Anolis sagrei: one gene and its partners. Each later gene encodes a partner of the first gene's protein in a complex. Links are inferred from orthologs where the notes say so. Each region holds a gene or a part of one and is shown in the gene's direction. Other genes may lie near its edges.

What was found.
Region 2: the proteins of PPP2R5C (region 1) and PPME1 are in contact, whole or in part, in a cryo-EM structure (PDB 7SOY), measured with the Homo sapiens proteins. The link is inferred for Anolis sagrei from reciprocal best matches to the Homo sapiens genes PPP2R5C and PPME1. Residues at the interface, in NP_002710.2 of Homo sapiens: Asp180, His187, Arg188, Tyr190, Gly191, Leu194, Arg197, Ser230, Ile231, Gly234, Phe235, Ala236, Lys240, His243, Asp313, Gln341, Tyr348, Glu353, Tyr354, Glu399; in NP_057231.1 of Homo sapiens: Arg37, Lys38, Arg39, Asn192, Lys217, Val251, Glu252, Gly253, Ile254, Ile255, Glu256, Glu257, Pro345, Gln346.
Region 3: the proteins of PPP2R5C (region 1) and CRYBG1 are in contact, whole or in part, in a crystal structure (PDB 6VRO), measured with the Homo sapiens proteins. The link is inferred for Anolis sagrei from reciprocal best matches to the Homo sapiens genes PPP2R5C and CRYBG1. Residues at the interface, in NP_002710.2 of Homo sapiens: Lys183, Thr184, His187, Tyr190, Gly191, Leu194, Arg197, Ala198, Arg201, Glu226, Ile227, Ser230, Ile231, Asn233, Gly234, Phe235, Ala236, Lys240, Glu242, His243, Pro265, Gln266, Tyr269; in NP_001358171.1 of Homo sapiens: Pro1136, Phe1138, Ala1139, Met1140, Pro1141, Pro1142, Ile1143, His1144, Glu1145, Asp1146, His1147, Glu1149.

What each region holds. Positions count from the first base shown.
Region 1 is NC_090021.1:323,541,257-323,551,450, forward strand, and holds the start of PPP2R5C (serine/threonine-protein phosphatase 2A 56 kDa regulatory subunit gamma isoform), read left to right. Parts: upstream 1-5,627; 5' UTR 5,628-5,885; coding exon 5,886-5,918; intron 5,919-10,194.
Region 2 is NC_090023.1:5,508,434-5,519,013, reverse strand, and holds the start of PPME1 (protein phosphatase methylesterase 1), read left to right. Parts: upstream 1-5,481; 5' UTR 5,482-5,524; coding exon 5,525-5,625; intron 5,626-9,291; coding exon 9,292-9,386; intron 9,387-10,580. Other genes in the region: C2CD3 (C2 domain-containing protein 3), read right to left, coding at 74-343, 4,796-4,871. UniProt on the Homo sapiens protein: Demethylates proteins that have been reversibly carboxymethylated. Demethylates PPP2CB (in vitro) and PPP2CA. Binding to PPP2CA displaces the manganese ion and inactivates the enzyme.
Region 3 is NC_090021.1:95,483,381-95,493,589, reverse strand, and holds the start of CRYBG1 (beta/gamma crystallin domain-containing protein 1), read left to right. Parts: upstream 1-5,040; 5' UTR 5,041-5,135; coding exon 5,136-5,461; intron 5,462-10,209. UniProt on the Homo sapiens protein: May function as suppressor of malignant melanoma. It may exert its effects through interactions with the cytoskeleton.

The sequences.
Region 1 (10,194 bases):
GGAGGAAAATGTTTTGGAAACTAGCCGTGATATCTCTCCACCTGGGGTTTTTAATGAGGACCGAAGAGAACAGATAGTTAGAGAGAGAAATGTTTCCCAGTTTCTACGAAGGTCACTTCGTTTACAGGAGAGATAGGCCCAGGCTTCAAAGTCAAGGGGCATTTCAAAGAATAGCTTCTTTGGTTTAAGAGGCCTCCTGCCGGGTGCCTCTTTAGATCAAGCAACGTTTGGGACTGTGGCTGCACCTTGGCAGAATTCCTGTGTTTCATGGCCGGTAATCCCAGAGGCTTGTATTTATTAAGTTCATGGTTAGTAAAAGACTAACAGGTTCCTGGTTCTTGTATTGCGGCTTTTGAAATTTTGCTCAAGTTCAGAGATTCTACTGACTGCTGTGTTTTTCTGTGGCTTTTTGACTTTGCATTTACCTTTCTTTTGTAACCAATTGTTCATCAATAAACAAGGATTGCTTTTCCTACAGTCCAGTGTGGTGGATTTAATCTTATGGTCTCGTTTCTTGAACTGGGATGCAACAGTCAATGTGTAGACGCATATAATGAACGGCATTTTATGAGCCTACACTGCCATATAATACAGTTATTGTTTCTGCATTTTTTGTATTTTGTGTGTTTGCATCTTTGAGTGCTTTGTTAGCTGCCCCATCCCTTCAGTACATGGTGATGAGGTATAAATGATGTATTATTATTATTATGGAACTGCATTATATGGCAGTGTAGGTGGGGCCCACGTTACAACTTAAGACCCATAGATATAGTAGCCTTCCTTTTTCCAGGTTCTTTTTGCCTTGACTGCCAACCTGGACAGCATTTTTAATTATTTTGACAATAAAAGTCTCTGTAGATTTTTAAATAAACAAAATAGTTAAAATAGATTATTGTAATCTCCATTTGATTCTGTGCAAGGCAAAATGTGAAATAATAAATAAATAAATATTGAAATCTGCATTGGAGATTTGGGGTTTAAAAAACACACTTTTGCTTCAATAGATTTTTAGTTTTATTTATTTTTTAACTTTGGTGTAAGCTAAATACCTTAAAGGCACCAGATCTTGTCTGACCTTGGAAGCTAATCATAGGCCCCAAATACACTACCATATATGGTCAGTGTAGACTCATACATACATACATACAAGGTAAACTACATTGAACTGCATTATATGGTCTGCATTAACCATACAATTCAGTTCCAAACTGTATTAAATGGCAGTGTAAATCCAGCCTGAAATGAAAGAATGGATACCGAACATACAGCTAAGATATTTTCAGTCTTTTCTGAAATATTCTTTTTGTCTGTTTCAGAGTGTAGGGCCATGCAAAGGAATAAATTCACTATTCACTAAAACAAAATTATAGGTCATATTTTTGCCTCAAAGTAGGCCTTCAAGCGAGGTAATGACTAAAAATAAATAATTTAAAAATTAATCAAATCCTAACTGTTGTTATGTGCCTTCAAGTCGTTTCTTACCCCGAAGGTTAATCTATCATGGGTTTTTTCTTGGCAAGATTTTTTCAGAGGGAATTTGCCCTTGCCTTCCCTTGAGATTAAGGCCCCTTCTACGCAGCCACTGAATTCAGTTTCAGAGTGCAGATTAATTGCATTGAACTGGTTTATATGGCAGTGTAGACCAGGCATGGACAAACTTGGGCCCTCCAGGTTTTTTGGACTTCAACTTCCATAATTTCTAACAGCCGGTGGGTTGTTAGGAATTGTGGAGTTGAAGTCCAAAACACCTGGAGGGCCAACGTTTGTGAACCGAGGTACAGTTGAAATGTATTTAAAAACACAAAGTTTTAAAAACTTGGCATTATACTAAATGTCTTTGACCAGTAGCTGGCCACCTGGAGTACCTCTGGTGTTGCTGTAAGAAGGTCCTCCGCTGTGCATGTAGCAGGGCTCAGACTTCGTTTTAATAGGTGGTCTGTGGTTTGCTCTTCTCCACACTTGCATGTCATGGACTCCACTTTGTGGCCCCATTTCTTAAAGTTGGCTCTGCATCTCGTGGTGCCAGAGCGCAGTCTGTTCAACGTCTTCCAAGTCACTCAGTCTTCTGTGTGCCCAGGAGAGAGTCTCTCATTCGGTATCAGCCATGGCTTGAGGTTCTGGATTTTAGCCTGCCACGTTTGGACTCTTGCTTGCTGAAATGTTCCTGTGAGTATCTCTGTAGATCTTAGAAAACTATTTCTTGATTTAAGGCATTGGCGTGCTGGCGGATATCCAAAAAGGGGATGGGCTGGAGATGAACTGCTATGACTATTGATATGAAATCATGGGAGTTGTAGTTTTGCAAGGCCTTTTAGCCTTCTCTGCCAAAGACTACTGGGGCCATCCTAAACTACAAACCCCAACATTCCATAGCATTTAGCCATGGCTGTCAAAAGTGAGGAGGAGCTGAGGAGCCTTCAACCAAGGTGAAAGAAGAAAGCGCAAAAGCTGGGCTGCAGTTAAACATAAAAAAACCCCAAGATCATGGCAACCAGACTGATTGATAACAAATAGAGGGAGAGAACATGGAGGCCGTGACAGACTTTGTATTTCTAGGTGCAAGATTCCTGCAGACGCAGACTGCAGCCAGGAAATCAGAAGCTGTTTCCTTCTTGGGAGGAGAGCAATGTCCAATCTTGATAAAATAGTGAAGAGTAGAGACATCGCACTGGCAATGAAGATCTGCAGAGTTAGAGCAATGGTATTCCCCATAGTCACCTACGGATGTGAGAGCTGGACCATAGGGAAGGCTGAGCGAAGGAAGATAGACTCTTTTGAATGGTGGCATTGGAGGAAAGTTCTGAGAGTGCCTTGGACTGCAAGAAAATCCATCCAGTCCATACTCTAGGAAATAATGCCCGGCTGCTCACTGGAGGGAAGGATATTAGAGACAAAGATGAAGTACCTTGGCCACATCATGAGAAGACAGGAAAGCTTAGAGAAGACAATGATCCTGGGGAAAATAGAAGAAAAAAGGAAGGGGGGGGGGCGATCAAGGTCAAGATGGATGGATGGCATCCTTTAAGTGACTGGATTGACCCTGAAGGAGCTGGGGGTGGTGATGACCAACAGGGAGCTCTGGTGCGGGCTGGTCCATGAGGTCACGAAGAGTTGGAAGTGACTGAACAAATAAAAAACAACAGGACTCAGATAACCCCGTTCAAAGCAGATATTGTGGGATTATTTTGTCTTGATATTGAAGCCCCTTCCAAGTAAAATCTCAGATTATCTGCTTTGAACTGGAATATATATAGCAATCCTTGAGGGAGCTGGGGGTGGTGACGGCCGACAGGGAGCTCTGGCGTGGGCTGGTCCATGAGGTCACGAAGAGTCGGAGACGACTGAACGAATGAACAACAACAACATATATAGCAATGTGGACTCAGATAACCCAGTTCAAAGCAGATATTGTGGGATTTTTTGCCTTGATATTCTGAGACCCCTTCCAAGTAAAATCTCAGTTTCATAGAATCATAGAATCAAAGAGTTGGAAGAGACCTCACGGGCCATCCAGTCCAACCCCCTGCCAAGAAGCAGGAATATTGCATTCAAACCACCCCTGACAGATGGCCATCCAGCCTCTGTTTAAAAGCTTCCAAAGAAGGAGCCTCCACCACACTCTGGGGCAGAGAGTTCCACTGCTGAATGGCTCTCACAGTCAGGAAGTTCTTCCTCATGTTCAGATGGAATCTCCTCTCTTGTAGTTTGAAGCCATTGTTCCGCGTCCTAGTCTCCAGGGAAGCAGAAAACAAGCTTGCTCCCTCCTCCCTGTGGCTTCCTCTCACATATTTATACATGGCTATCATATCTCCTCTCAGCCTTCTCTTCTTCAGGCTAAACATACCCAGCTCCTTAAACCACTCCTCATAGGGCTTGTTCTCCAGACCAGATCATTTTAGTCGTCCTCCTCTGGACACATTCCAGCTTGTCAATATCTCTCTTGAATTGTGGTGCTTTGAACTGGAATATATGGCAGTGTGGACTCAGATTTGTTGTTTATTCGTTCAGTCGTCTCCGACTCTTTGTGACCTCATGGACCAGCCCACGCCAGAGCTCCCTGTCGGCCGTCACCACCCCCAGCTCCTTCAGTTTCAGTCCAGTCACTTCAAAGATGCCATCCATCCATCTTGCCCTTGGTCGGCCCCTCTTCCTTTTGCCTTCCACTTTCCCCAGCATCATTGTCTTCTCCAGGCTTTGCTGTCTCCTCATGATGTGGCCAAAGTACTTCAACTTTGTCTCTAATCTCCTTCCCTCCAGTGAGCAGTCGGGCTTTATTTCCTGGAGGATGGACTGGTTGGATCTTCTCGCAGTCCAAGGCACTCTCAGCACTTTCCTCCAACACCACAGCTCAAAAGCATCAATCTTCCTTCGCTCAGCCTTCCCTAAGGTCCAGCTCTCACATCCGTAGGTGACTACAGGGAATACCATGGCTTTGACTAGGCGGATCTTTGTTGCCAGTCTGATGTCTCTACTCTTTACTATTTTATCGAGACTGGACATTGCTCTCCTCCCAAGAAGTAAGCGTCTTCTGATTTCCTGGCCACAGTCTGCATTTACAGTAATCTTTGCTCCTAGAAATACAAAGTCTGTCACGGCCTCCACATTTTCTCCCTCTATTTTCCAGTTGTCAGTCATTCTAGTTGCCATAATCTTGGGGTTTTTTTACATTTAGCTGCAACCCAGCTTTTGCGCTTTCTTCGTTCACCTTGATTAGAAGGCTCCTCAGCTCCTCCTCGCTTTCGGCCATCAGTGGTGTCATCTGCATATCTGAGGTTGTGATTGCCATTTTTACCCCAGCCTTTCATTCGTCAAACCCCACACATCGCATGATGTGTTCTGCATACAAGTTGAATAGGTTGGGTGAGAGGATACAACCCTGCCGTACGCCTTTCCCAATCTTGAACCAGTCCGTTGTTCCATGGTCAGTTCAACAATGGCTTCAAACTACAAGAAAGGAGATTCCATCTGAACATGAGGAACTTCCTAACTGTGAGAGCTGTTCAGCAGTGGAACTCTCTGCCCCGGAGTGTGGTGGAGGCTCCTTCTTTGGAGGTTTTTAAACAGAGGCTAGATGGCCATCTGCCAGGGGTGCTTTGAATGCAATATCCCTGCTTCTTGACAGGGGGTTGGACTGGATGGCCCATGAGGTCTCTTCCAACTCTATGATTCTATGTGGCTACTTGGTCCTTATACAGATTCCTCAGGAGAGAGAAGAGGTGCATTGGTATGCCCATATCACCAAGAACTTGTCACAATTTATTATGATCCACACAGTCCAAGGCTTTAGTCAATAAAACAGAAATAGATGCTTTTTCTGAAACTCCACGTTTCTGCCTTGATATTGCGGGTTATATGGCTGCGTGGAAGGGCCCTGAGCCTTGGCAGGTAACGTGGCGTCAAGCTTGCACGCCTTCCCCTACCACCATACCACAAGGGAGGCTCTCAACAAGCACCCTGGTGTTTTGAACTCCAACTCCCAGAATCCCTCACCGTGGGCCAAGCCGGCGGAGGCGTCTGGGAGTTGAAGTCTATTGGGGTTGGGCGAAGGCGGGGTGGAGCAGGAGGACCTGAGGGAGAAGAACGTTGGCCTCCACGTGACCCGCGGCAACCAATCGGGCGGCGCCTTCTTTCTTTCGAAGCGGAGAGAGGGCTGCGGACGGAGGCGGAGGCCGCTTCCTCCTCCTCCTCAGTCGCTCCTGGGAGCCGGAGAAGGAAGGAGGGAAGGCAGGAGGGAAGGGAGGGAGGCCGGCTGGCTGGCCGGCCGGTGGAGGAGGAGGAAGAGGAGGAGGAGGACTCAGAAGGAGTGAGGCAACGGGGCCGCCACACACACCACCAACTCTGAGGGAGGCCTGGCGGGCCCCCAGCAGACACCCAAGCAGTCGGCCATGCCGAATAAAACCAAGAAGGAGAAGAGCCAGGTCAGGCCTGAGGCGGGGAGGAGGGCTTGGAGGAGGAGGAGGAGGAAGGGGCGGGAGGGAGGCCTCTTCAGCAGGCATGGGCCAACTTGGGCCCTCCAGGTGTTTTGGACTTCAACTCCCACAATTCCTAACAGCCTCAGGCCCCTTCCTTTTCCCCCTCAGCCGCTTAAGCGGCTGAGGGGGAAAAGGAAGGGGCCTGAGGCTGTTAGGAATTGTGGGAGTTGAAGTCCAAAACACCTGGAGGGCCCAAGTTGACCCATGCCTGCTCTTGAGACTGCTTCTGTGGCAAAAAGAAAGTGTTTGGTTTCAGAATTGAACTTGTGAAGGGGAAAATCCCCAAATTTGCTCTTTTTTTCCCTCTCCCACTGAAGGTGGTTTTGGGAGCACCTTGGAGACTTCACTGACAGAACAGAGACGAGATTTTTTCCTTCAATTACTGAAACCACTCTATTTTTACCCATACTTTAGTAACTTATTGACGTCACTTCATGGAGAGAAAGGGCAGGCAAAGGTATCAAGGGAAATATTTGACAATTCCATTGAAGTTAAGTTGTCCACAACTTCATTGAAGTTAAATTACTCCACCTAACTATGTTAAAGTTGAGATGTCCCTTCAGTTAATCAAGTGACCAATATTTATTTATTTAACCAATTTTTTAAAAATTTCTTTAGGTGCTTGAGTAACTTAAACATTTTAGAATTAAACTTTAGAGAAAGGGCGGGCAAAGGTATCAAGGGAAATATTTGACAATTCCATTGAAGTTAAGTTGTCCACAACTTCATTGAAGTTAAGTTACTCCACCTAACTATGTTAAAGTTGAGATTTCCCTTCAGTTAGCCAAGTGATTAATATTTATTTATTTAGGTACTTGAGTAAACATTTTAGAATTAAACTTTAGGGGTCTGAAGAGAAAGGGCGGGCAAAGGTATCAAGGGAAATATTTGATAATTCCATTGAAGTTACGTTATCCCACAACTCCATTGAAATTAAGTTACCCTACCTAACTTTAGGGGTCTGAAGAGAAAGGGCGGGCAAAGGTATCAAGGGAAATATTTGATAATTCCATTGAAGTTACGTTATCCCACAACTCCATTGAAATTAAGTTACCCTACCTAACTTTAGGGGTCTGAAGAGAAAGGGCGGGCAAAGGTATCAAGGGAAATATTTGATAATTCCATTGACGTTAATTTGTCCCACAACTTCATTGAAGTTAAGTTACCCCACCTAACTATGTTAAAGTTGAGATTTACCTTCAGTTACTCAAGTGACCAATTTTTATTTATTTATTTAGGTATTTGAATAACTTAAACATTTTAGAATTAAACTTTAGAGAAAGACCAGGCAAAGGTATCAAGGGAAATACTTGATAATTCCATTGAAGTAAATTACCCCACCAAACTATGTTAAAGTTGAGATTTCCCTTCAGTTAGTCAAGTGATTAATATTTATTTATTTATTTAGGTATTTGAGTAACTTAAACATTTTAGAGTTAAACTTTAGGGATCTGAAGAGAAAGGGCAGGCAGCGGTATCAAGGGAAATATTTGATAATTCCATTGAAGTTAAGTTACCCCACCTAACTATGTTAAAGTTGAGATTTCCCTTCAGTTAGTCAAGTGACCAATTTATATTTATTTATTTATTTATTTGAATAACTTAAATATTTTAGAGTTAAATATTTTAGAGGTCTGAAGAGAAAGGGCGGGCAAAGGTATCAAGGGAAATACTTCATCACTCCATTGAAGTTAAGTTATCCCACAACTCCATTGAAGTTAAGTTACCCAACCTAACTATGTTAAAGTTGAGATTTCCCTTCAGTTAGTCAAGTGATTAATATTTATTTATTTATTTAGGTACTTGAGTAACTTAAACATTTTAGAATTAAACTTTAGAGGTCTGAAGAGAAAGGGCGGGCAAAGGTATCAAGGGAAATATTTGATAATTCCATTGAAGTTAAGTTGTCCTACAACTTCATTGAAGTTAAATTACCCCACCTAAGAATATTAAAGTTGAGATTTCCCTTCAGTTAGTCAATTGACCAATATTTATTTATTTATTTAGGTACTTGAGTAACTTAAACATTTTAGAATTAAACTTTAGAGGTCTGAAGAGAAAGGGCGGGCAAAGGTATCAAGGGAAATACTTGATAATTCCATTGAAGTTAAGTTATTCCACCTAACTATGTTAAAGTTGAGATTTCCCTTCAGTTAATCGAGTGACCAATTTTTATTTATTTATTTATTTATTTATTTAGGTACTTGAGTAACTTAAACATTTTAGAATTAAACTTTAGAGAAAGGGCAGGCAAAGGTATCAAGGGAAATACTTGATAATTCCATTGAAGTTACCCTACCTAACTATGTTAAAGTTGAGATTTCCCTTCAGTTACTCAAGTAACTTAAAAATTTTAGAATTGCACTTTAGGGGTCTAAAGAGAAAAGGGCAGGTGAAAGTATCAAGGGAAATACTTAATAACTCCATTGAAGTTATGTTGTCCCGCAACTCCATTGAAGTTAAGTTACCCCACCTAACTATGTTAAAGTTGAGATTTCCCTTCAGTTATCCAAGTGACTGGTTTTCTGGATACTTGAGTAACTTAAAAATTTTAGAATTACACTTTAGGGGTCTGAAGAGAAAGGGTGGGCAAAGGTATCAAGGGAAATACTTGATAATTTTTATTTTATTAACTTCAGTTATAATTCCATTGAAGTTAAGTTATCCCACAACCCCATTGAAGTTAAGTTACACCACCTAACTTTGTTAAAGTTGAGATTTCCCTTCAATTACTCAAGTAACTTAAACATTTTTGAATTACACTTTAGGGGTCTGAAGAGAAAGGGTGGGCAAAGGTATCAAGGGAAATACTTGATCATTCCATTGAAGTTAAGTTATCCCACAACTCCATTGAAGTTAAGTTACCCTACCTAACCTAACTATGTTAAAGTTGAGATTTCCTTTCAGTTACTCAAGTGACCATTTTTTGGTATTTGAGTAACGTAAGCATTTTAGAATTACACTTTAGGGGTCTGAAGAGAAAGAGCAGGCAAAATTATCAGAGGAAATACTTGCTAACTTTATTGAATCTAAGTTACCCCCACCTAACTTTTTTAAAGTTGAAATTTCCCTTCAGTTACTTAAGTGACCACTTTTTTGGTACTTTAGCAACTTGAAATGTCAGTTGAGCATTTTAGAAGCATAGTTGAGAGGTGTGAAGCAAAAGGGTAGGCAAAGTTAGCACTTTGAAGACTCCCAAGAATTAAGATGCAATTCTCTTCAGTTTCTGAAATGCTCAATATTTATTTATTTGGCATTTCAGTCACTTAAAACTTCAGTCCAACATTACAGAAGCACAGTTTTGGGGCCTGAAGAAAAAGGGAAACAAAGTTAGTACCTTAGATACTGAAATAAAGATGAAAATTTCCTGACATGCCTCTTTTTGCGGGAAACTTCAGTAACTTAAAACTTCAGTTGAGCACCGTTTAAGGATCTGAAGAGAAAGGACAAGCCAAGTGAGCAAAGGCATCAAATGTTAAGAGTTCTTGGCGCAGACAATATTTACCATACAATTCAAAGGCATGGGGTGCATCTACGATGTCGAATAAATGTGGTTTGACACCACTGACTGCCCTGGCTCAATGCTATAGAATTGTGGGAGTTGTAGTTTCACAAGGTATTTAACCTTCTCTACTAGAGAACACCTTAAAGATTGACTGAGATAACAGTTTTCGTTCAGTTTCTGAAGTGCCTTCTCTCCTTCTGATTGGGACTTCAGTAACTTAAACCTTCAGTTGAACAGTTGAGAAGCACGGTCTTTCTCTTCCAGAGAGGTCTGGTGGCTCAGCAAGCACTGACCCATGGCAGGGAAAGTGGTACTAAGCTGCATTAATTTTACAGTTTATCTGCATCTCATGGTGCCAGAGCGCAGTTTGTTCAGCGCCTTCCAAGTCGCCGAGTCTTCTGTGTGCCCGGGGGGGCGGGAGGTGTCTCTCATTTGGTATCAGCCATGGATTGAGATTCTGGGTTGGAGCCTGCCACTTTTGGACTCTTGCTTGCTGGGGTGTTCCAGCGAGTGTCTCTGTAGATCTTAGAAAACTATTTTGTGATTTAATCGTTGACGTGCAGGCTGATATCCAAACGGGATGAGCTGGAGATGTCACTGCCTTGGTCCTTCCACTATTGGCTGCTACTTCCCGGCGGATGTCAGGTAGTGCAATACCGGCTAGACAGTGTAGTTCAGGGGTCCTCAAACTAAGGCCCGAGGGACGAATATGGCCCT
Region 2 (10,580 bases), on another chromosome or scaffold:
TGCTTTAAGAGTGAATTCCAATCCTAAAGCAAAAAAAATTTAGATACTTAAGCATCAAGGATCCAATCAGTACCTGTCAGGTAGGCGGTAAACTGTTTTGGTCCACACCGAACTGGGTAGCGAGTGGTAGTCTTCAGTGTCTTTTGCTCTGCTTGCGAGGGGTCACGGGGAGTGAAAACAGTGCCATCTGAGGTCTCTCCCCACCACCGCACCCGGATCAGGAAGGAAGATGGTGGCTTGGAAACCATCCATAGGATCTTGCTAACGGTCAGCTTCAGAAAGCAGCGTAGCTGTCCTTCCACGAGAGGCGGCAAGCTTGTCGAAGGGGTAATGTCACTGAGATCTGCGAAAAAGCATTAGAACACAGTTATTTAGACAATGTGAATGATTCATAGGAGCATAGTGCATCAATAGGAGCATAGTATCTAGAGATCTAGGGAAGTCGTGCTCCCCATGCTCTATTCTGCTTTGTTTAGACCACACCTGGAATATTGTGTCCAATTCTGGGCACCACAATTCAAGAGAGATATTGACAAGCTGGAATGTGTCCAGAGGAGGGCGACTAAAATGATCCAGGGTCTGGAGAACAGGCCCTATGAGGAGTGGCTTAAGGATCTGGGCCTGTTTAGACTGAAGAAGAGAAGGCTGAGAGGAGATATGATAGCCATGTATAAATATGTGAGAGGAAGCCACAGGGAGGAGGGAGCAAGCTTCCTTTCTGCTTCCTTGGAGACTAGGACACGGAACAATGGCTTCAAACTACAAGAGAGGAGATTCCATCTAAACATGAGGAAGAACTTCCTGACTGTGAGAGCCGTTCAGCAGTGGAACTCTCTGCCCCGGAGTGTGGTGGAGGCTCCTTCTTTGGAAGCTTTGAAACAGAGGCTGGATGACCATCTGTCAGGGGTGATTTGAATGCAATAAAGCTATCGTCCTCCCAACCCTGCTCTACGCCTGCAAAATGTGGACTGTCTACAGACGTCACATGCAACTCCTGGAACGATTCCATCAGCGCTGCCTCCGGAAAATCCTGCAAATCTCTTTGGAAGACAGGCGGAGAAATGTCAGTGTGCTGGAAGAAGCAAAGACCACCAGCATTGAAGTGATGGTCTTCCACCATCAACTCCGCTGGACCGGCCATGTTGTCCGGATGCCCGACCACCGTCTCCCAAAGCAGTTGTTCTACTTCGAACTTGGAAAACGGAATGTTGGTTGACAGGAAAAGAGATTTAAAGATGGGCTCAAAGCCAACCTTAAAAACTCTGGCATAGACATCGAGAACTGGGAAGCCCTGGTCCTTGAGCGCTCCAGCTGGAGGTCAGCTGTGACCAGCAGTGCTGCACAAATCGAAGAGGTGAGAATAGAGGGCGAAAGAGAGAAATGTGTCAAGTCCTAGACAACTGGGAGGTGTCCAACATGTGATCCAATACAGCAGCCAGCAGAGTGATCTTGTTCACTGTGTACTCATCTTGTTGTGCATCAGATAACAACAGCAACAACAAAACAACAAAGGTGTTAATAAGGTAGTAATAATAATAATAATAATAAAGCTGTGGCATAGACACTGTGAACTGGGAAGCCCTGGCCCTTGAGCGCTCTAGCTGGAGGTCAGCTGTGACCAGCAGTGCTGCAGAATTTGAAGAGGCACGAATGGAGAGCGAAAGAGAGAAACGTACCAAGAGGAAGGCACATCAAGCCAACCCTGACCAGGACCGTCAATCTCAAAAACTGTGGCAATGGGAAGCCCTGGCCCTTGAGTGCTCCAGTTGGAGGTCGGCTGTGACCAGCAGTGCTGCAGAATTCAAAGAGGCACGAATGGAGGGTGAAAGAGAGAAACGTGACATTATAGAATGACACAATGACATATCCATTCTATTCCACGCAGGCTATGGGGTGCATCTACACTGCGGGCTTAACGCGGTTTGATACCGCTTTAACGAAAGCGTCTACCTGAGGGTGGGTGACCGGGACAGTATAGGGATTCTAGTAGTGTACCGTCCACCTCGCTGCACTACAGTCTCCCTACCTGAGCTAGCGGGGGTGGTCTCGAGCCTGGCATTGAAGTCTCAACGGCTTCTTGTGCTGGGAGACTTCAACGTCCATGCCGAGACGACCCTCACAGGCGCGGCTCAGGACTTCATGTCTGCCATGGCAACCATGGGGCTGTCCCAACAAATATCTGGCCCCACCCACTGTGCTGGACACACATTGGATTTGGTTTTCTGTCAGGGATGGGAACAGGGTGGCGGTGTGGAGGAGTTGTCCATCTCTCCGTTGCCATGGACCGACCACTTCCTGATCAGATTTAGGCTCACTGCGCCCCCTAACCTCTGCAAAGGTGGAGGACCCATTAAGATGGTCCGCCCCAGGAGGCTTATGGATCCGAATGGCTTCCTGACGGCTCTTGGGGATTTTCCCGCCACCTCGGTAGGTGACCATGTCGAAGCCTTGGTCGCTCTCTGGAATGGGGAGATGACCAGGGCTATTGACATGATCGCTCCGGAACGTCCCCTCTCAAGTAGCCGAGCTAAACCAGCCCCTTGGTTTACTGAGGAGCTGGCAGCTATGAAGCGAAGGAAGAGGGAACTAGAGAGCGTGTGGCGTTCGGAACCGAGCGAGTCAAACCGAGCACGGTTTGTGTCCTTTCTTAGGGCATATGCCGCGGCAATAAAGACCGCAAAGAAAACTTTCTTTGCGGCCACTATTGCGTCTGCAAAGAACCGTCCGGCGGACCTGTTTCGGATTGTCAGAGGTCTTTTAACTCCCGCCTCTGCAGGTGGGAGCCCTGACAATTCGGTCGCGCGCTGTGAAGCATTTGCTCGGTTCTTCGCAGACAAAGTCGCCTTGATCCGTTCTGGGCTGGACGCCGCGTTAGATGCAGACTCTGTGGATGTAACGAGAGCACCTGCTTGTCCTATTTTGTTGGATTCTTTTCAGTTTGTGAAACCCGAGGATGTGGACAAGATACTTGGAGGAATGAGGCCCACCACGTCCATCCTAGACCCCTGCCCATCCTGGCTTCTGAGAGAGGCCAGAGGGGGATTGGCCGAGTGGGTAACAGTGGTGGTGAATGCCTCCCTTCGGGAAGGCAAGATTCCAGCGAGCCTAAAACAGGCTATTATAAAGCCGCTGTTGAAGAAGCCATCACTGGACCCCACTAAATTGGACAACTTTCGGCCTGTTTCCAATCTCCCCTTTTTGGGCAAAGTCATGGAAAGCGTGGTGGCCTCACAACTCCAGGTATTCTTGAGAGACACGGATTATCTGGATCCGGCACAGTCTGGTTTCAGACCGGGGCATGGTACCGAGACGGTCTTGGTCGCCTTAGTGGATGATCTGCGCCGGGAGCTAGACAGGGGGAGTGTGTCCCTGTTGGTGCTCCTGGACCTCTCAGCGGCCTTCGATACCGTCGACCACGGTATCCTTCTGGGGCGCCTTGCGGAAATGGGTCTTGGAGGCATTGCTTTGCGGTGGCTCCGGTCATTTCTGGAGGGTCGCACCCAGAAGGTGTTATTGGGGGACTCCTGTTCCGCACCACAACCTTTGACTTGTGGGGTGCCACAGGGTTCCATACTGTCCCCCATGCTGTTTAACATCTACATGAAGCCGCTGGGTGAGATCATCCGGAGTTTCGGGGTGCGGTGTCATCTGTACGCAGATGATGTCCAACTCTGTCACTCCTTCCCACCTGCTACTAAGGAGGCTGTCGAGGTCCTGAACCGGTGCCTGGCCGCTGTAACGGTCTGGATGAGGGCGAACAAACTGAAACTAAATCCAGACAAGACAGAGGTACTCCTGGTCAGTCGCAAGGCCGAACGGGATATAGGGTTACAGCCTGTGCTGGACGGGGTCGCACTCCCCTTGAAGGCGCAGGTTCGCAGCTTGGGTGTGACCCTGGACTCATCGTTGAGCCTGGATCCCCAGGTTTCAGCGGTGACCAGGGGAGCATTTGCACAGCTTAGGCTCGTGCGCCAGCTGCGCCCATATCTCGGGAAGTCTGACTTGGCCACGGTGGTACACGCTCTTGTCACATCCCGCCTGGATTACTGCAACGCTCTCTACGTGGGGCTGCCCTTGAAGATGGCCCGGAAGCTTCAGCTGGTCCAGCGTGCGGCAGCCATGTTACTAACTGGAGCGGGTAGCAGGGAGCACACAACGCCCTTGTTGTCCCAGCTTCACTGGCTGCCGATTTGCTACCGGACCCAATTCAAGGTGCTGGTCTTGGCCTACAAAGCCCTAAACGGTTCCGGCCCAAAATACCTTTCGGACCGCATCTTGGCCTACGAGCCCACGAGGACCTTGAGATCGTCTGGGGAGGCCCTTCTCTCGATCCCGCCTGCATCACAGGCACGGCTGGCGGGGACGAGGGAGAGGGCCTTCTCGGTGGTGGCCCCCCGGCTGTGGAACACTCTCCCGGCACACATCAGACAGGCGCCCTCCCTCATGTCCTTTCGAAAAAGCCTTAAGACCTGGCTGTTCGAGAGGGCATTTAATTAAGTGCTAAGCAACAACATTACGGTAATGAGAACTGGAATGGTATAAGGAAGATGAGACTGGCTATGATTCTACTAAGAGACGAAGCGGATTTTTATGTAGTTTGTAGTTTGTATTTGTTGTATAGTCATATGTTGTTGATACTGGCCTCTGTAACTGTCTTTTTATGTGTACTGTACACCGCCATGAGTCGCCCGTAAGGGCTGAGAATGGCGGTCAATAAGTGCATCTAATAAATAAATAAATAATAAATAACTGCCTTTTGCCCCATGGCGAATTGTAACTTCCCCCCGATTCTCACCCTTCCGCTTGCGCCCAGGCCGAGAGGAGAGGGACGGGGAGGAGAAGCCCTTCGCCGCCTTTTTCTTCTGCTTCATCCTTCTTCAACTACTCCCAGGAGGCTTCAACTACGACTAGGCCGCTTCGCGTTGCTTGGCAACGCAGGCCGCGGCTCGCAATGCTTCCTGGGAAACCGGCGGGAGGAAAGCCCGGCTGCGGCCATTCCCCGAACCGCGCATGCGCGAGTCTCTAAGCCGGCTCTTTCTTATCGGCCTCTCAGCCGCAGAGAACTCCATTTCCCGTGCTGCCCTGAACCGCGCATGCGTGTGTCTCTAAGCCGGCTCTTTCTTATCGGCCTCTCAGCCGCAGAGAACTCCATTTCCCGTGCTGCCCTGCGTGCACTTCCGGTCTACGTCAGAGACAGGCCGGGCGTAAAATGAAAGGAGGAGAAAGAAAGGACTCGATGTCCCGTGCTGCTCCGGGGCGGCGCTTCAAGCGAGGAGCAGCGTGCCGGGAGCGCGGGGCACGTCGGGAATTGTAGTCCCGATGCCCTTTTTCGCCGCTTCCGGTGTACGTCAGAGATAGACCCGGCGTAAAATGAAAGGAGGAAAAAGAAAGGACTCGCCATCCCGTGATGCTCCGGGGCGGGGCTTCAAAGGAGGAGCAGTGTGCCGGGAGCGCGGGGCATGCCGGGAGTTGTAGTCCCGGTGCCCTTTCTCGCCGCTTCCTGCCTTCCTGAGGGGTGGCAGCCATGTCGGCGCTGGAGAAGCAGCTGCAGTTGGGCCGCCTCCCGCCCCGAGGACCGGGCCCGGCCGGGATGGGCGCTCAAGGGGCCCCCAAGATGCGCATGGGGTGAGGCCCAAGATCTGGGTGAGGGGTGACGTCACGCGAGGGGAGGGGGCTGCGTGACGTCACGGGGAGGGAGGCAAAGGGTGACGTCATGGTGGGTTTTTTCACCTTTCAAAGGAATTCCACTACAATTACTATTATTGTTATTATTATTATGCATAAGAAGATTGATTAAGTATATGAAGATATTACTACTGGGTTTCTGTGAGTTTGATTAGCATTGCAAAGCCTTGCAGCTTCAAAGCCTGGCTGCTTCCTGCCTGGGGAAACCCTTTGTTGGGAGGTCTTAGCTGGCCCTGATTGGGTCAGGGGAATTCCAGGCAAGAAACAACCAGGGCCATTATTATTGGGTTTCTTTGAGTTTGATTAGCATTGCAAAGCCTTGCAGCTCCAAAGCCTGGCTGCTTCCTGCCTGGGGAAACCCTTTGTTGGGAAGTCTGAGCTGGCCTTGATTGGGTCATAGGAATTCCAGACAAGAAACAACCAGGGCCATTATTATTGGGTTTCTGTGAGTTTGATTAGCATTGGAAAGCCTTGCAGCTTCAAAGCCTGGCTGCTTCCTGCCTGGGGAAACCCTTTGTTGGGAGGTCTTAGCCAGCCCTAACTGGGTCATAGGAATTCCAGACAAGAATCAACCCAAGACCAACTAACAACACCCGACAAAGGATTCCCCCCCCCCCAGGCAGCAATCAGCCAGGCTTTGAAACTGCAAGGCCATTACATGCTAATCAAAGTGGCCAATTGTAACATTGACACCTACCTCAAACAGACAAGAGTTCTTTCTCCCACACTGGACCTTAATCCACAGGTATATAAAGCCCGACAAAGGATTCCCCCAGGCAGCAATCAGCCTGGCTTTGAAACTGCAAGGCCATTAAATGCTAATCGAGGTGGCCAATTGCAACATTCACACCTACCTCAAACAGACAAGAGTTCTTTTTCCCACACTGAACCTTAATCCACTTGCCTAGTTTCCAACAGACCTCAGAGGACAGGGCCTTCTCGGTGGTGGCCCCTCGACTCTGGAACTCTCTCCCGCTGGAGATCAGAACTGCCCCCTCCATTCTGTCGTTCAGAAAATGGGTGAAAACCTGGCTATGGGGTTTGGCTTTCAACGAGTGAATCAATATTTTTGTGATCGGATAGATGACGATGAATGATGGACAACGGATTCACTATGACGACTGACCATTGTTATTATGTGATTGCATTTTGCTGTTATAACGTTTTAATTGAATATGTCATAAGATGTTTTTAATGATTGTTTTGTGATTTTATTGTTGGAAACCGGCCCGAGTCCCCCGATAGAGGGGAGAAGACCGGTATACAAAATTGCTAAATAAAATAAATAAATAGATAAAATAGTTGTGGGCGAAACATCAGGAGAGAATGCTTCTGGAACATGGCTAGTCAGCTCAGAAAAATCACAATAACCCAGTGATTCCGGCCATGAAAGCCTTCGACAACACATTATTACAATTATTGTTGTTGTTATTAAATTGTGGATGCAGTTAAGTATATGAGAATATTATTATTATTATTTAATATGTAAGGTTATTATTATTATTATTATTATTATTATTATTAAGTTGGGGACGCAGTTAAGTATATGAGGATATTTATTTATTTATTTATTTGCAACATTCGTATCCCGCTCATATCAGCCCGAAGGCAACTCAGGGCGGCGTTATTATTATTATTATGATTTATTATTATTATTATTATTATTATTATTACAACATATATAAGGATGCAATTAGGTATTTGAGGATATTAAAATTATTATTAAATATATAAGGATATTATTAAGTTGGGGATGCAATTAGGTATTTGAGGATACTATTATTATTAAATATATAAGGCTAATGTTATTATTATTAAGTTGGGGGATGCAGTTAAGTATATGAGGATATTATTATTATTAAGTATATAAGGATATTATTAAGTTGGGGGTGCAATTAGGTATTTGAGGATATTATTATTATTAAATATATAAAGCTATTATTATTATTAAGTTGGGGGATGCAGTTAAGGATATGAGGATATTATTATTATTACCGGTAAATATATAAGGATATTATTATTAAGTTGGGGATGCAATTACGTATTTGAGGATATTATTATTATTACCGGTAAATATATAAGGATATTATTAAGTTGGAGATGCAGTTAAGGATATGAGGATATTCTTCTTAAGTTTGGGGATGTGCTGGTTAGATTTGCCGGGAATTACAGTCCAACAACCTTTTGTACGGACCTCATACTTTTCATTCTTTCTCCATTCGCAGCTATTTTAAGAAATATAATTGGGATATAATATAATTGGCAGGTCCTTTTTAGCTGTTGGCTGCGTGCGGATGGGGCATCCCTATAATTTGCTCTTGCTTTTGAGGTGCAGTTGTGTATTATCTATAGACTGTCCTGCTTTTCAGCTTGCGTTTCTTCAGTTGCAAGGTGCATCATTCCTTTCCTAGAAAAAGGCTCTTGAATGTAATAATAGTAATTACAATAGGCCCATTGGTATCCAGTGGGGTTGGTTTGGTTTCATCCCCAAATCCAGACCAGGAAAAGCCCTCTGAGTTTATTGAAGACAATTAAATCTGTTTATTGAAGACAATTAAAAAGCAGTAAAAGTAAAAAAGCACTTTAAAGGTATAGGTAAATCCAATTAGGTAGGAAGATAAGCCGGAACAAAATAGTCCAGGGAATTAGTCCATCAAAGTCCACACATATATACACAAATATATACACACATATACTGTCAAGGTCAGACGCCAGCCAATTAAAGAAGTATAGTTTATGGTCCATCATAGTCTTGCTCGCGAGTAGTTCTCCTGCCTTTCCTAATACAACTAGTGTTACTATCACTGCCAGCAGACTCTATCACAACATATACACCCATATATATATAAGCAAACACACATTTATACGCCCATGTATATATAAGCAAGCACACATATATACACAAATATATACATACACACACACACACATATATACACCCACATATATATATGCAAACACATATATACACACATATATACACACATATACACAATATGCATGTATACATATAAACACACAAATATATACACACATATATACACACACACACACACACATATATATATATATATATATACACCCACATATATATATGCAAACACACATATATACACAGATATATACACACAGACACATATACACACACAAAACACATATACGCAGACGGCCACAGCAGGGGATGGCTAATTTATTAATAATAATACTTTATTCATATAATAAAAATGATGATAATAATAATAATAATTTTAAAAACTGGAACGTGGGACAGAACAGAATAGGAGAAGAAGGTAAGGAGCTAGATAGCATTATCTTTACTAGAATTAATGATGCTATTGACAGTGCTTGGCAAAAAGGATTTGGCATTTCCTCTTCCAGACAAACAGACAGACGGAGGCACAGAATAATACATGCAATTAAATGGATGCCTTTCTAGGATTTTTTCTAGGTAAGCAGAAGTTTACCCTGGAATTGCCTGTAGGAGAAAGTCCCCAGTGAGGACATATTTTGTTGTGTGGGAAGATGAAACTGGGAATGCTGGTCTCACCGCTGTGAGAATGAATTGTACTGTCATTATATATAAACTATCCACGTTTCTTCTTTCAGACCTGGAAGGAAACGTGACTATTCCCCGGTCCCGTGGAGCCAGTACTTTGAATCTATGGAGGACGTGGTTGTCGAGAGCGACTCCGGCAAGGATATATCCTTTCCTCTTCTTTAATTGAATTGTCCCTTCTGATTAGATATAACGGTGAAGCTTTGAAGCAGGGGAAGGTAGCAGTCAGGGATTACAGTGTCTTTTAAAACATGTTAATCAGAATAATTTTTCTTTTTTTTTTCTTTTTGCTAATTTTATATGATTTTCTTTTTTTTCTTTTAATCGTGTTTTCTATTAACACACAAAAAGGTTTCATATAATTTAATTAATTTTATAACAATAATTAAAAATAATTTAATAATAAATAACAATAATTGAAATAGTTAATAATATTAATATAAGTTAAATTGTTGTTGTTGTTGGGTAAAGGTTTTCCCTTGACATTAAATCCAGTTGTTGTTGTTGTTGTTGTTGTTGTTGTTGTTGTTATATTTATTTATACCCCACTTTATCTCCCCAAAGGGGAGATAACTTGACATGTGACTTGACATAAAAGTATTAGTATACTTTTATGTATAATAAAGGGTAAAGGTTTTCCCCTGACATTAAGTCCAGTCATGTCTGACTCTGGGGGTTGGTGCGCATCTCTATTTCTAAGCCGAACAGCCAGCGTTGTCCATAGACACCTCCAAGGTCATGTGGTCAGCTTGACTGCATAGAGCGCCGTTGCATGTTTTCAAATTGCCAGGTTGGCAGAAGCTGGTGCTAACAGCGGGAGTTCACCCTGCTCCCCGGATTAGAACCTGCGACCTTTCGGTTAGCAAGTTCAGCAGCTCAGTGGTTTAACCCACTGCACCACCAGGGGCTCCATATATTAGTATATAATATTAATATATAGCAGGAAGCAGTGAGGCTTTGAAGCTGTAAGGCTGGCTGCAACATTCATACTTGCTTCAAGCAGACGAGTTCTTTCTCCCTCCCTGGACATTGCACAGATATATAAACCTCTCTTTCCCAGTTTCCAACAGACCTCACGACCTCTGAGGATGCCTGCCATAGATGTGGGCGAAACATCAGGAGAAAATGATGCTGGAACATGGCCAGACAGCCTGGAAAACTCAGAGCAACCCAGTAATTTCAGCCATGAAAGCCTTTGACAACACATTAATATAGAATTTAAAATATACAGAAATGCAGATATTAAAAAAGAATTAAATACATATAGCACTAAAATATTAATAGTCAAAAACTATAAAAATAGTTTTTAAAGTTAAATTGTTTAATTTAAAAAACAATT
Region 3 (10,209 bases), about 230 Mb from region 1:
TAAATGTCTAGAGGCAGTACTAGGTTTTATATTTGAATGAAGGCACAGTAGCTAGTAACCACACCTGGAAGATTATAAAGATGCCCCTGCAATATGACATTTTAAAGATATCCATGTTGCAACCCAGCACATATTTATTTCATTTTAGCCCTTTGGCAGTCAATTATGGATAGTAAGTGGAAAGGACTGCACGAGGGCAAACAAACTGAAACCTAATCTAGACAAAACAGAGGTGCTCCTGGATAATCAGAAGGCAGATCAGGGAATAAGGATTTTGCCTGTACTAGATAGGGTTATACGCCTCCTGAAATCTTCAGCTCGCAGCTTGGATATTCTCCTGGACTCAACTCTGAGCCTGAATGCTTAGGTTTCAGCAGTGGCTAGGAGTGCATTTGCACAGCTAAACTAGTGTACCAGTTGCACCTGTTCCTTGAGATGTCAGATCTGGCTGCACTGACATATACCTTGTTTACTTCCTATTTGGACTACTATAACTCATACAATGTAGTACTGCCTTAGGAAATGGTTTTAAAACACAGTGGGGCCAGAATGCTGCAGCCAGAATGCTGACTAGGGCCAGTTATAGGAACCATGTGATTTCATTGTTAAAATAACTATTTGTTCAATTCTGGGCATAATTAAATGTGCTGGTCATGACCTATAAAGTCCTATATGATTTAGGTTCAAACTATCTGTGCTGAATGCATTGTTGAAGGCCGTAATGGCCAAAGTCACTGGGTTGTTGTAGGTTTTTCAGGCTGTATGGCCATGTTCTAGAAGTATTCTCTCCTGACGTTTTGCCTGCATCCTCAGAAGTTGTCTGCAATGCCTTTCATGTTCCTTAATTGGTGTTTGGGCGCTACTTCAACCAGAGAAGTCAGTCATAGTAGAGCACCTGATGAACCAGCCTGGACACAGCATATTATTTGAGAACACAGAAATGCTGGACCACTCCAACAACCACCATGTCAGATTACACAGAGAAACCATTGAAATCCACAAGCATGTAGACAATTTCAACAGAAAGGAAGAAGCAATGAAAATGAACAAAATCTGGCTACCGGTATTTTTAAAAAATCTAAAATTATAACAGTAAATAAAAAAACAAAACTCAAACCCTGGGGAACGCCAGAGAAGAAACAATCAGGAACAGCTAATCATCTCTCAACAAAGAATTCCCCCAGGTAGTAACAGGGCACACCTAAAAATTGTCAGACCATCAAATGCTAATCAAGTGGCCAATTGAAACATTCACACCTAGTTCCAACAGACAAGAGTTATTTCTCCCACCCTGGACTTTCCACAGATATATAAACCTCATTTTCCTAGTTTCCAACAGACCTCACAACCTCCGAGGATGCCTGACATAGATGCAGGCGAACCGTCAGGAGAGAATACTTCTAGAACATGGCCATACAGCCCGAAAAACCTACAACAACCTAGTATCTGAGAGGCTGTATCTCCCTATACTACCCTACCAGAACCTTGAGATCTATAGGGCAACACTTTCCCAAACTCCCGTCACCAGACACAAGGGACAGCCTGATAAAATCCAGATTAAAATTCACAACTTAGAACTGACTGGGTAGGTCTGCTGGAAGAGATGCCTCTTCAATTATGTCTTACATTCCAACAGCTGATTGGAATGTAAGACAAGGCAAACCAAATGTCAAACCAAAACTGGCATTTGTAGTTTAGCAGTTGTATCATTAGGAGATATAATGATACGGGGGGGGGGGGGGGGGGGGAGAGAGAAAGCTCAGCACAATCTAACAAAATCTAACTTTTCTCTGTGAAAAGAAGTAATAGAATCATAGAGTTGGAAGAGACTGCGTGGGCCATCCAGTCCGACCCCCTGCCAAGAAGCAGGAAAATCGCAAAGCACCCCCGACAGAAGTCCCTTTGCTGAGAACTGTTTTCCTCAGATATTTGCAACAAGGGAAACTGAGGGCAAGTGGCAGAAACCGCTTGAGTCATTTGAAACCAGTCTGAAAAAAGCATTCCAGCACATGTTAACGTGAACAGCCCTGCATTGATGGTTAAGCAGGCAGAACTGATCCTTTCAATTGCTATTTTTCTGTGGGTAAAATTCTGTCCTCAGATATGTATAATGTACTCAGTTCCCTCAGTTAAGAGGGGAGTTGTCAATGACACTTGATCATCCCAGTTCATCTTCAAGACAAACTGACCAGATCAGATGGACAGCTATTAAGAGCAATTGAAGAGCTACCTTATTACAATGGAAAAGACAATCTTTACTGATGTCTTGAAAGTTCTGGATCAATTTTTAAAGTATTTGCTGTCGGCATTTAAATTGTTTTGCTGCAATCTAGAGCCCAAGCTCAGAGAATGATCTCACATGTGTGTGCAAGGGAGGGGGGGGGGATAAATGGTTTACTTCTGAAATGTACATAGCATCCGTAATGCACTCTATGTGGGGCTGCCTTTGAAGACAGCTCAAAAACTGCAATTTGTCCAAAGATCTGCAGCCAGGCTACTAACTGGAACAAGCTATAGAGAGCACATGATGCCCCTACTAAAGCAACTCCATTGTCTGCCAATAAATTTCTGGTCCCAATTCAAAGTGCCAGTTATAACTTATACAGCCCTAAACTACTCGAGTACTGTCTATATTCATGATCACATCCTCCACTATGAACTGATATGGCCTCTAAGATCTGCCGGGGAGGCCATCCTCACAGTCCCACCACCATCTCAAGCGCAGTTGTTGGGGATGAGGGAGAGGGCCTTTTCAGTGGTGGCTCCCCGGCTTTGGAACTCCCTCCCCAGGGAGATTAGACAGGCCCTCACACTGTCCTCCTTTTGTAGGGACTTGAAGACATGGCTTTTCAATCAAGCCTTTGAGAATATTTAGCCCCTAGTTGTCCTACCTAGTAGTAGCACATCCTGCACTTTATCTCATGCCTTCTCTCAATTACTGCAGTGGCACTTATTTTATTTTAATGTTTACAGCCCGGCCATGGTGCCAGTAATTTCCCGTCACAGTTAGAGGACCGCAGCTTTATTGAGTCTGGATTGATGTATTTGTATGTGCATGTGTTTTATTTTATTGTGTTTTATATTGTGTTCAGTTTTATGTATATTTTTAGGCACTTTGTGCCGTCTGGAAGCCACCCTGAGCCCTTTCAGGAAGATGGTGGTGAGGTATAAGAATAAAGTTGTTACTGTTGTTATTTTTAATATTATCTCATAGGTAAAGGTAAATGTCTTCCCCCGACATTAAGTTTTGTTGTATCGTACTCTAGGAGGTAGGTGTTTTTTTTGTGTCAGGAGTGACTTGAGAAACTTCAAGTCACTTCTGTTGTGAGAGAATTGGCCGTCTGCAAGGAAGTTGCCCAGGAGATGCCCAGATATTTTGATGTTTTGCCATCTTTCTCTCATGTCCCCGCACAGGGAACTGGAGCTGACAGAGGGAGCTCATCCGTGCTTTCCCTGGATTCGAACCTACCCTTGTGCCAGCAGAACTGGAGACTGACAGGTTGTTGGTTCGAATCCTGGGATAATGTGTAATGTAATACAATATAATACTAATAACACTAATATAGTATTCTAATTATATATTTTATATTACATGTAATAGTACTAATAATATTATGGAACCCCCTCCCCAGGGATATTAGATTGCCCCCCTTCCTCCTGACTTTCCGGAAAAAGTAAAGACCTGGCTCTTTGAGCAAGCTTTTGAGAATGCAGCGGAATAGATAACACGGAACTATGAATGATGAACATGGAATGGCCAGGCGATGTTACTGGATAATGTTTTTAACAAGATGACACTGATGATTATATGCTTTAACTGTTTTTATTTATGTTTTATATTGTAATGTTGATTGTTTTTAATGGCACTTTTATGAACGCCTGACATTGAATTGTGCCAGTCTGTAACCCGCCTTGAGTTGCCGTATGGCTGTGGAAGGCAGGCTATAAATATAGTAAATAATAATAATAACATAATATTACAATATAATGGTATAGTACAATATAGTAATAGCTAATGCTAATATTGTGCTACGGTAATAATATAATATATTGTATTCACATATTACTTGTAAGCTGCTCTGAGTCCCCTTCAAGGTGCGAAGGGTGGCATATAAATGTAGTAAATAAATAAATAACTATAGTTTATTGTATATGTCCAGTGAAGTTGGATCAATTTTTTAAGAAGTGGGGGGGGGGGGGGCTCTCATCTCCATTTCTAAGCCGAAGAGCCGGTGTTGTCCGTAGATGCCTCCAGGTCATGTGGCTGGCATGACTGCAATGAAGCGCTTTTACCTTACTGCTAGAGCTGTATCTATTGATCTACATACTCACATTTGCATGCTTTTGAACTGCTAGGTTGTCATAAGCTGAGGCTAATAACAGGAGCTCACCCTGCTTCCCGGATTCAAACCACTGATCTTTTGTTCAGCGAGTTCAGCAGCTCAGCGGTTTAACCCGCTGTGCCACTGAGGGCTCTCAATCTCATATATGTGCTGGGCAGGTCCGTAGCCAGTATTTTGATTCGGGGATGGGGTGGGGGGCTGAGTTTGATTGTGGGGGGGTGACTTTGGTTGGGGGGGTGAGGATCTACCCTAGCAAACCTTTTGTATTATTGTCCCAATACCCCCATGCATATGGGATATATTGAGCATGGTAATCAGATCATGATATGAATACACATAACAGTTTAAATAATGTACCAGTAAGGCCTTCTCGTGGACCACCCTGAAAATTTCGGGGGGGGGGGGGCTGAAGCCCCACAAGCCCCCCCCCCTATATGCCTGGTGCTGGGAGAATGGTGGGATTTAATTTAAGAGTGGGAATTGAAGTCCAAAACACCTGGAGGGCCGAAGTTTGCCCATGCCTCTTCTAGAGTGCAGGGATGCACTTGAGGTGAGCCTCAGTGGGCGGGGGAAGAGGGAATCCCTGGCAGTGGACGTTGCGCAAGAAGCGGAGGGCGGGGCGGGGCGAGGGCGGAGGGAGGGGCGGGGTTTCGCGCGCGCCACAGAACACCTGGGCGCTCCTGAGTCCCCCCCCCTCCCTCTCTGTAACCGTCGCCTCACGCGCGCGAGGGACGAAGCCGCCCCCGGAGCAGCAGCGTCGCCTCCTCCGTCCCTCTCGCCGGGGGTCCCACCATGGAGAAAGCGGGTTTGCGCCGCTTGGGGAGGCTCTTCCGGCACCGGAGCGAGTCGGAGGACTCCGAAGCGGACTCGCTGCCGTCTCCGTGCCCTTCCCCGGCGCCGGAGCCGCGACGGGAGCATCGCCTCAGCGCCAGCAGCCAGGCCAGCTCCCCGGGGGCGCGGAAGAAGCGCTCGGGGTTCGGCCCGTGGCGCCTCCGGAGGAAGGAGAGCAAGGAGCCGGGCGAGGACCACCGGGTCGGCGGGGGCAGCGTGCCCGCCTCGCCCTCCTACTCGCCGCACCCCCCGTTCAGCGCCTCGGAACCCAGCACACCCACCAACAGGTATGAAGGTCCAGCATATTCATTCTACGCCAGGCCCGGGCCAACTTGGGCCCTCCCTCCAGGAGTTTTGGACTTCAACGCCCAGCATTCCTAACAGCCTCAGGCCCCTTCCTTTTCCCCCTCAGCCGCTTATGCGGCTTAGAGGGGAAAGGAAAGGGCCTGAGGCTGTTAGGAATGCTTGGGAGTTGAAGTCCAAAACCCCTGGAGGGCCCAAGTTGGCCCAGCCCTGCTCTATAGCCGCCCTTCCAAGGCATCATCATATTCCGCTGTCCAACTGCTCTTCCTTAGGTGACATCTCCTTTCCTACATTCAGAAACCCTCGTCCAGAACGGGGTGGTGCTTGTTTCTAATTTTAGACAGAAAAGCTATACCTCAAGATATACAGGCAAGCCCTACCTTACGAACAAGAGAAGATTTCTTTTTCAATAGGTTTGTTCTGAAGTTGAATTCATTTGTCAGGTAGGTTTTAACTATCTTATCTATCTTCAGGCCTGTAGCGAGGGGGGGTGGGGTGTTAGGGGTTCAACCCCCCCCCCCCCCCGAAATGTTTCAGTAAATTTTAACTGGTTAACCAAATCCCCATGCTAAGTCTATGAGTCCCTCCAGAACTGCAAGCACTATCTCAGGCAAATATTGACAATTTATTCACACTGTTATTACTTGCAGCAATAGCCAGTGTAGTGAAGCAACCAAGTTGGGGGTGTGTGTGTTGAATGCTCTCATTAAGGAGGCCAGACTTGGTGGAGGTGGTTGACAGGGGCGGAGCTGCAGGCTATTGAAGGTTGCTCTGCCCCCTGCTGTGCTCTTTGCTTCAGCGTGAGCTAGGAGGCAGGTTTCAACCCCCCCCCCCCCCCGAAAATTTCAACCTCTCCTGAATTTTTTTTCTGGCTATGGCCCTGTCTATCTTTCTATTTATCTATGGCAAGCCAGTAGCCGGGTGGGGTGGGGGGCTTGAGGGGCTTCAGCCCCCTCCCTGAAATTCTCAGGGTGGTTTGCAAGAAGGCGTTACTGGTACATTATTTAAATTGTTATGTTTGTTCATATCATGATCTGATCACCATTTTCAATATATCCCATATGCATGGGGGTATTGGGACAATGATACAAAAGGTTTGCTAGGGTAGATCCTCACCCCCCCCCCAGAATCAAACTTAGCCCCCCCGAATCAAACTCAGCCCCCCCCCCCCCAATCAAAATCCTGGCTATGGGCCTGAACTATGGATAGCATAGAGAAGGGTGGACACACCCCTGTGGAGTTTGTGTTGGTCCCTATGCCCCTCTTCAGAGGATTTCGCCTCACTTTCTGTCCCTGTGATCATTGCATTTTAAAAAAATGGGCTTGTTGTGCAATAAGGGTTGGTGATACAGCTTCAGTGGAAATACCTTTTGCCTATGATAACTCTTCCAGCAGCCACTTCAGCACACTATTTATTTATTTGTTAAATTTGTATACCGCCTTTCTCAGCCCACGGGCGACACAAGGCGGTTTACAGAGGCAAAATTCAATGCCCAGCAACATCATAAAACATTTAAAACATTAACATAAATATACAATCATAACGAAGTCAATAAAACATAGATCGTGAACATCTCCAAGTTAAAATCAAGGTCCAGTCTCATCATCCAATCGTTCCTTATTCCTATGTCTGTTACACTGCCTTTTCAAACACTTTCTCAAACAGGCAGGTCTTGACTTTCCTCCAGAATGCTAAAAGAGAGAGGGCCGATCTAATGTCTCTAGGAAGGGCGTTTTGGTTTTTGACTCCTGCAGAATTCTGGGGTTTGTAGTTTAGTGAGGCTGTTAAAGCCTTCTCCCTAAACTACAAACCACAGAATTCTGCAGGAGGCAGCAACCGGATTTATAGAGGATTCATTCTCTAGTGTGATGAGGTAGCAGGAGAAAAATTCCCTTCTGAAGGTGAGAGTTCTCTCACTTCCTGTTGTCTCATCCCCATTCTTAACTGTGAGTCATTTATAAGTCAGAGGTTTGTAACTTGGAGACTGCCTGTATTTTAGGAAGGGAAAAGGTACAATGATGTTTCAGTTGTGTTTTCAGCAGTGATGCTGCTGCCTACTAGTCGCCTAATGGCCACCACAGGAATTTCACTGGATTTTCTTAGGCTGGGACTACTTAGGGCAGGGGTCCTCAAACTTTTTTAAACAGAGGGTCAGGTCACAATCCCTCAAACTGTTGGAGGGCCAGATTATAATTAAAAAAAAAACATGAATGAATTCCTATGCACACTACAGATACCTTATTTGCAGTGCAAAAAAACACTTAAAACAATACAATAATTAAAATGAAGAACAATTTTAACAAATAACAAGTATTTCAATGGGAAGTGTGGGCCTGCTTTTGACTGATGAGATACAATTGTTGTTGTTGTTGTTGTTGTCGTGTGCTTTCAAATCATTTCAGACTTTGGTTGACCCTGAGCGAGGGCTGGGTAAATGACCTTAGAGAGCTGTATCTGGCCCCAGGGCTTAGTTTGGGGACCCCTGACTTAGGGTATAATGCTAATTAGGAGAGAATGCTTCTGGATCATGGCCATACAGCCCAGAAAACTCAACAGCAACCCAGTGATTCTGGCCATGAAAGCCTTTGGCAACACTAATTCACTTTGTAGAATCAAAGTAGTTAGACACCCCTTTAACTGCCATGGCCCAGTGCTTTGTAATCATAGGAGTTGCAGCTTTGTGAAACACCAGCCCTCTTTAACAGTGAAGGTCAAATGAGCTCACAGTGCACAATGGCTTAAACCCTTGTGCTGGCTGAACTGCTGACCAGAAGGTCAGAGGTTCGAATTCATGAGACTGGGTGAGCTCCCATCTCTCAGCCCCAGCTTTTCATGCGGGGACATGTAAGACGTCTCCCACAGGATGGTAATACATTTGGGCATCCCTTGGGCAACGTCTCTGCAGATGGCCAATTTTCTCACACTAGAAGCGACTTGTAGTTTTTCAAAGTCATTTCTGACATGATGAAAAAAAATTGAAGGTTAAAGACGTTGTGGAACTACCATAACTAGGATTCCATTGCACTGAGCCATGGCAGTTCAAGTGGAGTCAAATTATATTCATTCTACAGTGTAGAGACACTCCTAGCCCACATCTGCACTGACCATGTAATGCTGTGTCAAATTGGTATTGCAGAAAGTGGTTTCCCTGTGCAGATTATTATATAGGAAATCCTAAAACCAATTTGAGGCCTGGATGGGGATTAACACAAACCAGAGAACACTGATGTGCAAGAAGGGATTTCTTTTGGCGGTTTTGTGGTCAGTGCCAATGGTGTCCTAGTTTACTGATGGCCACTGCATGAATTCCATTGGATTTCCATAGGCAAGTTTTACTCACGTTTTTTTGCAAGTTTCTTCTGCTGAAATCTAGCCTATAGCAAATGATATTCATTGGGCATCTCCCATCCAACTGTCAACCAAGGCTTGACCCTGCTTAGCTTCCAAGATCAGAAGGGATTGGGTGCTTTTAGGGCAGGGGTCGGGAACCTTCGGCCCTCCAGGTGTGGTGGACTTCAACTCCCACAATTCCTTGAGGCTCGGCATTCGCCCCAAAGGCTTACCTTGGCCCAACGAGGTTTGTTTGGCTCTTTTTCATGGAGGACGGGCAGCAAAGGGGGAGAGACGAGCGTAACGTAGCTGTGCAGATGGCGAGGAAGGATGCGGAGCCCACAGACTGGCCTCGGAGGGAGAGAGCGGGCGGAAACCCCTGCGGGCAACACGCCTCCTCGCCGCTTCGGCCCTTAGCAACCGCCCCGCATGGACCCCCTCCCTAGCAACGACGCCGGCTGAGTGACGTCGTGCAGAGCTTGTCGGGGAAAAGGGAAGGCGAAGGCTGGAGGGAAAGGGCTCTGCGCTGTTTACAGAGACAGGGAATGTTGTTGTCCTCTTGGACAAAATGGGGGGGGGGGATGTCACACTTATACAGAGGGGCATGGCCAGGCCCTGTAGTGTCCTGCCATGCATTTTGGGGGAGAGGGGCACAAGAAAGTTCTGTGGCACTAGAAATAGCCTTGCTAGTAACATGTGACCTGCAGTTCAAAGTGGCTATAGCTAGGGAGGGGGTCCATGCGGGGCGGTTGCTAAGGGCCGAAGTGGCGAGGAGGCGCGTTGCCCGCAGGGGTTTCCGCCCGCTCTCTCCCTCCGAGGCCAGTCTGTGGGCTCCGCATCCTTCCTCGCCATCTGCATAGCTACGTTACGCTCGTCTCTCCCCCTTTGCTGCCCGTCCTCCATGAAAAAGAGCCAAACAAACCTCGTTGGGCCAAGGTAAGCCTTTGGGGCGAATGCCGAGCCTCAAGGAATTGTGGGAGTTGAAGTCCACCACACCTGGAGGGCCGAAGGTTCCCCATGCCTGTTTTAGGGTATCTAGATTTCTCAGTAATTATACATACACAATTAGTTGTACCTCACTCACTAGCATTAACATCACCACCACCACCCCGCCGCCATCAGTTCCTTCCAATCATCAAAATTACCAAAAAAGTTTTTTAGGGATTTCCAGTCTTTGAGACCTTTCTCTGCTTACACAAGACAATTTGTTTTACTGGTTGCTCCTCCATAGTAGAAGTCTTCCATCTTCGCACATACAACAGTCTTGCTGCCAGGAACCAATCTTTCATAGATAGATCTTCTCCAGCTTTGCAGCCAACTGTCCCAAAAGATACAATTTTGGTTTCATGTGACTATTAATCTTTAAACTCCTCTGAATCAACATGTGTTTTTGTACATGTC